Arabidopsis thaliana: one gene and its partner. The protein of the gene in region 1 purifies or fractionates together with the protein of each later gene. This does not show direct contact. Each region holds a gene or a part of one and is shown in the gene's direction. Other genes may lie near its edges.

Region 1 (6,200 bases):
AAATAAAAGTTACCTGGTTTTCTGTGCTGAGGAATGTAGCATTCTCCATGATTTTTAGACATTTCAGAAGTAACATCAGACTCTGCTTATTCAAGTCATCTTTTATATCCTCGACAGAGAGTGTGTCATGAGTCACCCAGCTCTGCAAACAAAATATGCAATAGAGACTCTTATTAAATACAGTTGCAAAGGTCCAGTAACTATTGACAACTTAAGTACAGAGTCTTTGCCACCACTAAGACAGACATCCAACTTGTCCACAACAAACGCAGTCACAATAACATTAAACTGTGTTACACAAACAAGAGAATTCTCTTGCCCAAGGACAAGAAAAGAACCTTGACTTGCAACGATTTTCAGCAATAAATTAGATTGAAATAAAACATGAACCTGAAGATAGCAAACAATTATAAAGCTACCAATCTACGACACTTTACACAAGTTATTGACGTCCTAGCCAAATAAAGACATATATAGCAAGATCCCTATAACATACAGGTTCACACCTCCATTACAGTGTGGCAATCCATAACAACATCAAAGACAGCATCAAGTCCTCCAAGTTCTCTCAGTTTCTCCTTGAACATTCCTCCAGATTTTTTCACAGTACCAGAGGTATCTGGATGGGGAATGATAATATCAATAATTAGAAATTTATAAATCAATTATAATCTGGTCGTAGGATTCTATTACCGCTGACACATTTGTTAAACTGATTCACTGAAGCAGATAACATAACTTTCCAATTCTATAACTCAATATAATATACCAGATGCGTCTTAAATAGTTAGCTAGTCATTGTTCCAGCAAAACAGACAGGAAGTTAAAGTACCATCAAAAGAGATTTTGGACAAGCACGCCTTCTCCATCACCAACAAAGCTACCCATTTCGTACTTAGCTCAGGCCTCATCCTCTCGATTTTATAGCTATCAATCAATCTCAACTCCTTGCAATTAACAAGAATTTCCTGAGCTCTGTCAATTATATCACAGGAGCTTAAATCATGCATACTGGCTGCATCACGTGCTGCATCAACATCCTTGATTATTGATAAGAGCCTAGATCCTATATTCCGCGGCTTTACTTTAGTACTGGCAGAAACCACAGGTCTCAACAGCTTAACCAAAAACTTGATGGAGTTGGGTGACTCCATAAAGTGATCATCTTGACCCTAGAATCATGAACATAAAACTAGTAAACAAGAGAAAAATGCCAATGGAGCAAGAGAAAAGAGCATCACAAGCAGATTTCACAATGCAAATAAGTTACTTACATCAGTAGTTAGCACAAAGAAAAGGGTAGCTGCAGCAAGATTGCTTGGTATGTCATCAAGGCAAAGACCCAAAATCGCATCAATTATGGACTGTGAGATCCTGAAATAACAAAATTCAGAAACTTTTAAAAGAACTCGACTTCAAACAAACCCTAGAAAGTCTAGAAAGGAAGATACTGAAAATCTTAAGTAAATAAACATACCCTAAAGCTCTCAAAGAGCGTCGCTGATACTGAGATTCACAAATCGAGAGTAGAGAGGACAAAGCAGCTCTTCTGATCCTAACTTTATGTCCTTTCTTCAACCCATCAAGAGCGAAGTTAACTTCGTCCTCATTCTCAATTAACTCGCCGAACTCTTGAGCCTCCATCAAAGTCGAATTCGAACCAAACCCTCCACCACCGTTTCTGGGTCTCTTGTTCCTCTTCTCAGAAAAATCATTATCCGAAAAAGTGGATCTTGAAGAATAATTCCAGACACAAGATGATTCTTGAGTTGAGAAATCAACTGGCTCGAGTTCTGGAGATGAAGAAGACGGAAAAATATGTTCCGCCCGCGAGACGTCGTCGTTTAACATCCCCGGCTTGCGACGGCCGTAAGTTCGCTCCATCATCGCCGAGAAAGCTTCGAATTTTCTCTTCGTTCGCAGATTTGAGTGACAAAATAAGACAAGGGTATTTTCGGTATATAATATGACTTTCTATATAAATATAATATTTTCAATTGCTATGTATTGACCGCATAGCGCAGTGGATTAGCGCGTCTGACTTCGGATCAGAAGGTCGTGGGTTCGACTCCCACTGTGGTCGTTTTTTTTTTTTTAAAGGCTTTTAGGGTTTGAAGATATACACTAACTGAAATTGCTGTACTCAGTTCTTTGAGTTTCTTCTTCTCTTGGAGGAAAATCGAGAAAGACGAAACATGGCTTCTTCTTCTACTTCTCTGAAAAGAAGAGAGCAACCAATTTCGCGAGATGGAGATCAACTTATCGTTACTCCGTTAGGAGCCGGAAGTGAAGTGGGTCGTTCCTGTGTTTACATGTCCTTCCGAGGCAAAAATATTCTGGTCAGCTTCTCCGTTTTGTTCTAATCAAGCAAATGTGTTTTGATTTTGTTGTTGGGGCATGTCTTATAGTTGATTTTGGTTGTGTTGTGCAGTTTGATTGTGGGATTCATCCTGCGTACTCGGGCATGGCTGCGTTGCCTTACTTCGATGAGATTGATCCTTCTTCCATTGATGTCCTCTTGATTACTCAGTATGTTTCCTTCTTCTTCCTCTTTTGGCTAATACCCATTAAGAAAAATTGAAACTTTGAAGAGAAAATGATAGTCTTGATTTGAATAGAATGATAATTTGAGCAAAATCTTCGAAGTTTAAGTTTGTTTATACAAAAACAGAAGGATGATGTGTAGTAGAGAGACCTTCTTGGATTAATTAGTTCAAGCTTGTAGGAGGCTAGAGTTTGTTCTGTCTCTGTTTGTCTACTTGAAAGAGTTTGTGTTTTGTGTAAGAGGTTTATTGGGTTAAGATAACATATAATGTGTTGATGCTTTTGGTTGCAGCTTTCATATAGATCATGCAGCATCTCTACCTTATTTTCTGGAGAAGGTTTGTTTCTCTTTTCAAAATGATTTTGTTTTTTGGGATGTGTTAAAACATAGCTGAGAACTAATTCAGGTTATTGATGTTTTGATCAGACGACATTCAATGGGCGGGTTTTCATGACACATGCAACAAAGGCCATCTACAAGCTGTTGCTTACAGATTATGTAAAAGTGAGCAAAGTGTCTGTGGAAGATATGTTGTTCGATGAACAAGACATCAACAAGTCTATGGACAAAATTGAGGTTAGTACTGCATTATATTCTATGACTATGTTTATACTTTGACTGCTCCACTAGGTTTGGGATAAGTTCAAAAGAAATTAAATCTGCTTCAAAACTGTGATTGTTGAGTTAAGGTTTATATTTGATTTCCTCTATAGGTAATTGACTTCCATCAAACAGTTGAAGTGAATGGCATAAAGTTCTGGTGTTACACGGCAGGCCATGTTTTGGGTGCAGCCATGTTTATGGTGGATATAGCTGGTGTCCGAATCCTCTATACAGGCGACTATTCCCGTGAGGAAGACCGACATCTGAGAGCAGCTGAGCTTCCTCAATTCTCCCCTGACATATGCATCATTGAATCCACTTCTGGTGTCCAGCTTCATCAATCTCGTCATATTCGTGAGAAACGCTTCACTGATGTAATCCATTCAACGGTTGCTCAGGGTGGACGTGTGCTGATCCCGGCTTTTGCACTGGGCCGTGCTCAGGAACTTCTCTTGATTCTTGATGAATACTGGGCGAACCACCCAGATCTACACAATATCCCAATCTACTATGCATCACCACTCGCCAAAAAGTGTATGGCGGTTTACCAAACCTACATATTATCTATGAACGACAGAATCCGCAACCAGTTTGCAAATTCTAATCCGTTTGTGTTCAAGCACATTTCTCCATTAAACAGCATCGATGATTTTAATGATGTCGGTCCATCTGTGGTAATGGCTACTCCTGGAGGTCTTCAAAGCGGTCTCTCAAGGCAACTCTTTGACAGCTGGTGTTCAGATAAGAAGAATGCTTGTATCATACCAGGTTATATGGTGGAAGGTACACTGGCCAAGACGATAATTAATGAACCAAAGGAGGTGACTCTTATGAATGGTCTTACTGCTCCGCTCAACATGCAAGTGCACTATATATCGTTCTCTGCTCATGCAGATTACGCGCAGACGAGCACGTTCTTGAAAGAGCTCATGCCTCCTAACATCATCCTTGTTCACGGTGAAGCTAACGAGATGATGAGGCTCAAACAGAAGCTCTTAACAGAGTTTCCTGATGGAAACACAAAGATCATGACCCCGAAGAACTGTGAGTCAGTGGAAATGTATTTTAATTCTGAGAAATTGGCGAAAACCATTGGGAGATTGGCGGAAAAGACACCTGATGTTGGCGATACAGTAAGCGGGATTCTGGTGAAGAAAGGGTTCACTTATCAGATAATGGCACCTGACGAACTCCATGTTTTCTCACAGCTATCAACAGCAACTGTAACTCAGCGAATTACAATCCCGTTTGTAGGAGCTTTTGGTGTGATAAAACATCGCCTGGAGAAGATTTTCGAGAGCGTGGAATTTTCAACAGATGAGGAATCGGGGCTTCCAGCACTGAAAGTTCATGAAAGAGTAACGGTGAAACAAGAGTCAGAGAAGCACATCTCACTTCAGTGGTCATCAGATCCAATAAGTGACATGGTTTCAGACTCCATTGTAGCTCTGATTCTCAACATCAGCCGAGAAGTCCCCAAGATCGTTATGGAAGAAGAAGATGCTGTGAAATCCGAGGAAGAGAACGGGAAGAAAGTTGAGAAAGTGATATACGCACTTCTTGTTTCGCTTTTCGGGGATGTGAAACTAGGAGAAAACGGGAAACTGGTGATTAGGGTCGATGGCAATGTCGCTCAGCTGGATAAAGAGAGTGGAGAGGTAGAGAGTGAGCATTCAGGTCTTAAGGAAAGAGTGAGAGTAGCTTTTGAGCGGATTCAGAGCGCTGTGAAACCAATCCCTCTCTCAGCTTCTTAGTAGCTTTTTAAAGTCATCGTTGAGGTATCTTAAATCATCATAGAGTTTTATCCATCTGATGATGTTTCTGTTCCCATGTTTAGTAATAGTGAATGATCAAGTCTAATGGATGTTATTTAAGAAGGTGTTTATTGAGAAACTTTGCTACTACCCTACTGTGATAATGATCAAGTCTTATGGATGTTATCAACTATGAGTTTTTAACTTTTTTAGGTTTTTTCATAAATCATTTTGCTGATTCGTGCTTTTCCCATATGCATTTTTCTATCATTATGCTGATCTAGGATATGGAAGCAAAAGCTTTGTGGTGCATCAAGTTAAGAGGTTTCTAAAGTTAAAAAAGTACTAGGCTTCTTCCAGATTCTTTGTAAGACATATTAGTGAGCCTTGCTTTTGATATTTGCAGTTTCATGAATACACGGTGTCGTTTGATGCGTTTCTACCAAGCCTCTAAAGTACAAGGCAGGTCTGATTGAGCTAAAGTAAGGTAGAAGAGAGATTGTAATGAGCACATTTTCTATTATTTTTCCACGTACAAAGTATACATTATTCACATCAGTGAATGTCTCTTGACCTCTATGTTTTGGCAAGATGTCTAGTGCATCAAGATATTAAGACCAAATCTCTACAATATTAAAATGCTTAATTTTTTTTTTTGTAGATTAAAGTTTCTTTTTTAATTTTATTTATAAAAGCTTCTACGTTCTACCGTATCCAAATATGCATCAATATCTGCAGAGACTGCAGTTTCATATAGGCGGGAAAAGCAAATGCAAAAAACAAATCGAACCTGACCCAACTAAAATCAAAGGCTCTCTTTTTTTTTTTTCATTTCTTTCCAAATTGTCATTTTCAGTTTCTTCGAATCCAGACACAACAAATCCGAACCTGACCAAAACTGAAAACTATGTCAGCCTACGAGTACCCGAGGCTCTCTCGTTCCGACATTATCACGGCGCTCAAGGATGCTCAAATCGCTAGCGTTACAGAGACCGATCTCAAAACCCCAACTTCCGACTTTGTCTCCGAGCTTTACACCAGAATTCTTATCTATCTCGACGCCCTCGACGAGTATGTACTCCTCAAAACCCTAGTTCCTCTCTTAGCTCTTCACTCAATTTTACCCTCGATTTTGAAACTCTTCGTCTAGTTTCGAGCTAGGTCATCGAATTCTGTCAGAAATTATGTTAAATATTGAATCTTTGGGATTTTCTATTTTTGATTGTATGAACTGCTAAGTAATTTTGAAAACCCTATTTTTTGTTTCAATTTGGGGGAATTTCTGATGATGCTTCTTT
Region 2 (5,646 bases), on another chromosome or scaffold:
GACAGGAGAGAAAGGAATCCCGATGTACAAAGACTACGCGATATATGTTGATGCCAACAACGGAGGCGAAGAGATTACACTTCAGATGACTCCATCAACTTTTGGTCAACCGGAATATTATGATTCATCTCTTAACGGGTTAGAGATTTTCAAGATGGACACCATGAAAAATCTTGCGGGTCCAAACCCCGAGCCATCGCCTATGCAAGCTGAGGAAGAGGTTAAAAAAGAATTCAAGAACGAAAAGAGACACGCTTTCATCATTGGTTCGGCCGGAGGAGTTTTAGCGGTTTTAATCGGTGCCTTGTGTTTCACGGCCTACAAGAAGAAACAAGGATATCAAGGAGGCGACTCTCACACATCAAGTTGGCTTCCTATATATGGAAACTCTACCACATCAGGAACCAAATCAACCATCTCAGGGAAGAGCAACAATGGAAGTCACCTATCCAATCTCGCAGCAGGTTTATGCCGTAGATTCTCTTTACCAGAAATCAAACACGGAACACAAAACTTCGATGATTCCAACGTCATTGGAGTTGGAGGGTTTGGTAAAGTCTACAAAGGAGTTATAGACGGCACAACTAAAGTAGCGGTAAAAAAATCAAACCCAAATTCAGAACAAGGACTCAACGAATTCGAGACAGAAATCGAACTCCTCTCAAGACTAAGACACAAACACTTAGTCTCCTTGATAGGATACTGCGACGAGGGAGGAGAAATGTGTCTCGTATACGATTACATGGCATTTGGAACACTCCGTGAGCATCTATACAACACAAAGAAACCACAATTAACTTGGAAACGAAGGCTAGAGATAGCTATTGGAGCAGCAAGAGGATTACATTACCTTCACACAGGAGCAAAGTACACGATTATACACAGAGACGTTAAAACAACTAACATCCTCGTAGATGAGAACTGGGTAGCCAAAGTTTCAGACTTTGGGTTATCCAAAACTGGACCTAACATGAATGGAGGCCATGTAACAACCGTCGTCAAAGGAAGCTTCGGTTATTTAGATCCTGAATACTTCAGAAGACAACAACTGACTGAGAAATCAGACGTTTACTCATTCGGAGTTGTTCTGTTCGAAATCTTATGCGCAAGACCAGCGTTAAACCCGAGTTTGCCTAAGGAACAAGTGAGTCTCGGAGACTGGGCAATGAATTGCAAACGAAAAGGGAATTTAGAGGATATAATCGATCCGAATCTGAAAGGGAAGATCAATGCAGAGTGTTTGAAGAAATTTGCAGACACGGCGGAGAAGTGTCTTAACGATAGTGGATTAGAACGGCCGACAATGGGAGATGTTTTGTGGAATCTCGAATTCGCACTTCAGCTTCAAGAGACTGCTGACGGGACTCGTCATCGGACTCCGAATAATGGAGGAAGCTCTGAGGATCTCGGTAGAGGAGGCATGGCGGTTAACGTCGCCGGTAGAGATGATGTGAGTGATCTCTCCTCAGAGGACAATACCGAAATATTCTCTCAGATTGTAAATCCCAAAGGACGATAAGGTAATTTCGCAATACGTATACTAATTTTGTTTTTCTTCTCTTAATTTTGGTGTTAAAGTTTTTGTTTTTGTGTTAATTGCAGGATTAGAAAAGGAATCTGGGTAACAAAATTTGAAGATGATTTCATTTATATTGAGTGGTATTTTTCAATAAAAACATTTGTAAAATTATATCCCTTTGTGATGTTACATGTAATCAAAAATACATTGTATTAAGATTCGTAGTTAGAATTTTTCTATGGTAAATTTTTGTATTAAGTTATATTTTACTGAGTTTATTAAGCTAGAAACAAATTATTATATTAACCGGAAAACTGTATAGTAGAAAAATGGAAAAGGTTGTTCAGGTCGGTTAACGGCTCAAACCGGGATTAATTCGTTTTCCAATTTTGCCTTAATCGAAAAAATGGAAATTACAGCGATATAAACCTAAAGTAAATTGATTTCGTAAGTCGAATTCACTGTTTCTCCTCAAACACACACACACGTTTGCGAATCTCCGACGTCCGTTTCTCCTCGCCGTAGAATCGCCGTTCATTCTTTCGCCGCCTTCAGTCTTCCCTCCATTGACCCTTTTTTTGGTAATTCGTCTTCTTTTTGCTCTCTCGTTCTCTCTTTTTCGATTTCTGGGTACAGAAATCGATGGCTCTCGTTTTTCTTTCTCTGTTGCTGTTCTATTACTTTCTCTTATATATATATGATTGTTACTCTAGTGATGAATTTTGATACATTGGTTGTTTGAAATTGATCTCTGTTGTGCTTTTATAATTCCGGGGTCAAGATTGGCTGTTTAAATCTAGTAAAGTTTGCATTTTTCTTTTCTGTTTGCAGAGATTAACTTGATTATACTTTTGTTTTTAAGAAGAAGAAGAGCGATTACAAGCGCAAGTGTGTATAATGACTTAAAGAGAGCTCCTGTTACTCCGAGTGATAGATAGTCTACAATTATATCTTACTCTGAGTGAAAGCAATGGCGTACGGTGGTCCGTCCATGAATCCACCGGCTTTGAGTGGAGCTGTTCCCGGGTCTGCTAATCTGAAGCAAGTGAAATTGGAGAGAGAAAGCGAGCTCAGGATCGAAGTCTCTGAAGAGCCTCTCAGACTCCGTGTGGTTAACGGGACCGCTGAGATTTTTGGCTCTGAACTGCCTCCTGAAATATGGCGTACCTTCCCTCCTCGCATGAAATTTGCGGTATGTGTTTTCTTAATCCTTGGTTTTTAGAGCGATCGTAAGCATTATGCTTTATGGCTTATAGATAAAATGTAGCTTGTTGGTAACATATTTGGTGTTGGGTTTGTTGGTAGAAAATAACTAGCCATTCTTGATTTAGTTTCTTTTAGTGGTTATCTTTCTTAAAGTGGGTTCTTGAGTTACTATTGAATTCACCCTCTGGCCTTTTGGGGTTGGAAAGGTACATCCTTTGCCAGTGAAGTTTGAGGGTTTTTGGGTTTGAGTTGGATGAAAGACTTATGATTTAGGTTGTAAATGAAGATTATGCTGTCTAGGTAAGAATTGTTAAGTGGGTTGTATAAAAAGATTGATGATAGATGTGATTTTCCCCCCCAATTTCTTTCTTTTCTATTTTTCCTTCTGCTAATGATTTATGTAAAGTTCATAATCGGAGCTCTGAAACACCGTGCTTACCATCTTGTGCCTTTTGATTATTGTCAGGTTTTCACTTGGTATGGAGCGACAATTGAGATGGATGGTGTCACGGAAACTGACTATACAGCAGATGAGGTTGGATTACTTGTTTCATTCCTACGCTTGCTTTAAATATGTAGAGCAAATTTTGTTTACTAACTACATCTCTGTTTCCAGACGCCGATGGTCAGCTACATTAATGTGCATGCCATACTAGATGCAAGGAGACGTTTTGCCAAAGCTTCCACATCTAATGACCCAGAATCTTCTCAGGTACTTTTCTTCGATATTCAATATTATTGTATTGCAATATCAGCATAGTTAAAACACTTGGTTCTTAAGAATTCACTTAATGCAGGGACCTCGGGTTATTGTAGTAGGGCCTACGGATTCCGGGAAGAGCACATTGACAAAGATGCTCCTTAGTTGGGCAGCTAAACAGGGATGGAGACCTACATTTGTAGACCTTGATGTTGGCCAAGGCTCGATTACAATACCAGGATCTATTGCTGCTGCCCCTATTGAAATGCCACTGGATCCAGTTGAAGGGTTTCCTCTTGATATGGCCCTTGTTTACTACTACGGCCACGCATCACCAAAGTAAGTGATTCTCAAATTTCTCCTACCCATCATACGTTATTCCCCTCGATGAGGAATTTAAATATGTCTACTTTGGCTCTCTCAGTATGAACGTTGAACTGTACAAAGCTCTGGTGAAAGAGCTTGCTCAAGTTCTGGAGAAACAGTTTGTCGGAAACCCTGAATCGCGAGCTGCTGGAATGGTGATCAACACAATGGGATGGATCGAGGGGATTGGTTATGAGGTAAAAGTTAGATCCTTTTTAGCGTATTTTTTGGTATAGTTAGCTCCTTCTTAGTGGATTTCATTATGCAAATGCCTGATAAAGAACTGTATCTGCTTCGTCTTGCAGCTGCTTCTCCACGCAATAGACACATTCAATGCCTCGGTTGTACTTGTATTGGGTCAGGAAAAACTCTTCAGCAGGCTTAAAGATGTGCTGAGAAGTAAGAGTAATGTCGACGTCGTGAAGCTTCACAAGTCTGGTGGAGTTGTAGCCAGGGTCAAAGAGGTCCGTAAAAGATCAAGGAACTTTAAGATTCAGGTAAAATTTTCAATCTCAAATCTTTTAATATCCCTTTTTTCATGCCTTTGGAGGTGTAACTCAGAACTCAAAAACTGAATTTTCCAGGAATATTTTTACGGTTTATCGAAAGAACTCTCTCCGTATGCCAATACATCGAGTTTCAGTGATCTGCAAGTGTTCCGAATTGGTGGTGGACCACAAGCGCCAAAATCGGCTCTTCCAGCCGGGTCTACCTCGGTTTCAAATCCGTTGCGGGTGACGCCTGTAAATATCGATGATCGGGATCTGCTGCATTCTGTTCTTGCTGTCTCATACGCAGAAGAACCAGACCAGATCATCTCAAGGTAATCTCTAAAAGTTCTTGCTGTTTCCAGAATCAAAGGCTTTCGTGTATGTTTTCTTCGTGATTTTGATATTTCTTTCTCTCTGTTTTTTCTTTGATACAGCAATGTTTCTGGGTTTGTGTATGTGACGGAAGTTAATGTGCAGAAGAAGAAGATAACGTATTTAGCACCATCGCCTGGGACATTACCTAGCAAGTTGTTGGTCGCTGGATCATTGGCATGGCTTGAGTCAGTATGACTTACTTAGAGAAGAGAGGAGCCATGTTTTTTGCTTGAGAGAATGATGCAGCAGCTCGATTATGTAACGTTAATTACAAATAGCCTTTTTCTTCTTTATCAAATGCACAAGTTTTTGAGTTTAAAAGATCATTATTGCGGAATAGATGGTTGGTTGTAATTTGATGTTATGAAGTGAGCAAAAAATAATGTTGATTTACTAGTGCGTTAGTTCTGTTTGTTTGGTTCAGCATATTCAAGTGATGTGTGTAGCATTTTTAAATTTGATAGGTCGAACATATCTTATGTTATTGGATGATTTCGAAATAGTATATGATAATGTTCAAAGTCACACATGTATTATTATTGGTTATTAATTCAACTAAATTACTATCACATTTTAAGTCACTTCAATTGTATTGTTGTATAAGCTCTGTATTTAGAATCGGATCCGAAGAATATTAGTTGGTCTGTCTAACCAAGTCGCATTAATCTTATATGATTCTCCTAGAATAGAAAAGAATATTTTATTCTTATGCTAATTCAATTGAAAGATAATTAAAACGGATATGTTTTGAGTTCAAAATGTTAAAATTGTCATTCATTTGCAATAGACAAAACATATTTAGAAAATTCTAAATTTACATGCTACAAGATCTTCTATATGCTTTAATAGCCTCATTTTTTTTTTTAACCCTGCACATTAAATACAGAAAATTTCAATCATTTGACTGATGATTAGAGATTTATAGATATAAGAAGAAAGTTTCACTTATCATTGTGAATATGATAAAACAAGAATAATAAAAATATCGT

What was found.
Region 2: the proteins of CPSF73-I (region 1) and CLPS3 purify together in Arabidopsis thaliana (affinity purification with western blotting, with the first as the bait; one study listed by BioGRID). This does not show direct contact.

Annotation. Positions count from the first base shown.
Region 1 is NC_003070.9:22,473,656-22,479,855, reverse strand, and holds CPSF73-I (cleavage and polyadenylation specificity factor 73-I), read left to right. Parts: upstream 1-2,090; 5' UTR 2,091-2,195; coding exon 2,196-2,339; intron 2,340-2,431; coding exon 2,432-2,529; intron 2,530-2,836; coding exon 2,837-2,882; intron 2,883-2,971; coding exon 2,972-3,121; intron 3,122-3,258; coding exon 3,259-4,902; 3' UTR 4,903-4,926; exon of another isoform or gene 4,927-5,186; 3' UTR 5,187-5,226; exon of another isoform or gene 5,227-5,308; 3' UTR 5,309-5,589; downstream 5,590-6,200. Other genes in the region: AT1G61030 (WAPL (Wings apart-like protein regulation of heterochromatin) protein), read right to left, coding at 14-142, 507-619, 833-1,172, 1,275-1,374, 1,478-1,887; AT1G61000 (kinetochore protein), read left to right, coding at 5,810-5,973. UniProt on the Arabidopsis thaliana protein: Component of the cleavage and polyadenylation specificity factor (CPSF) complex that play a key role in pre-mRNA 3'-end formation, recognizing the AAUAAA signal sequence and interacting with poly(A) polymerase and other factors to bring about cleavage and poly(A) addition.
Region 2 is NC_003074.8:1,269,259-1,274,904, reverse strand, and holds CLPS3 (CLP-similar protein 3), read left to right. Parts: upstream 1-1,900; 5' UTR 1,901-2,100; exon of another isoform or gene 2,101-2,381; 5' UTR 2,382-2,489; coding exon 2,490-2,711; intron 2,712-3,191; coding exon 3,192-3,260; intron 3,261-3,341; coding exon 3,342-3,437; intron 3,438-3,522; coding exon 3,523-3,764; intron 3,765-3,849; coding exon 3,850-3,988; intron 3,989-4,096; coding exon 4,097-4,288; intron 4,289-4,375; coding exon 4,376-4,614; intron 4,615-4,716; coding exon 4,717-4,852; 3' UTR 4,853-5,144; downstream 5,145-5,646. Other genes in the region: ANX1 (Malectin/receptor-like protein kinase family protein), read left to right, coding at 1-1,519. UniProt on the Arabidopsis thaliana protein: Required for endonucleolytic cleavage during polyadenylation-dependent pre-mRNA 3'-end formation. Functions in gametophyte, embryo and postembryotic development.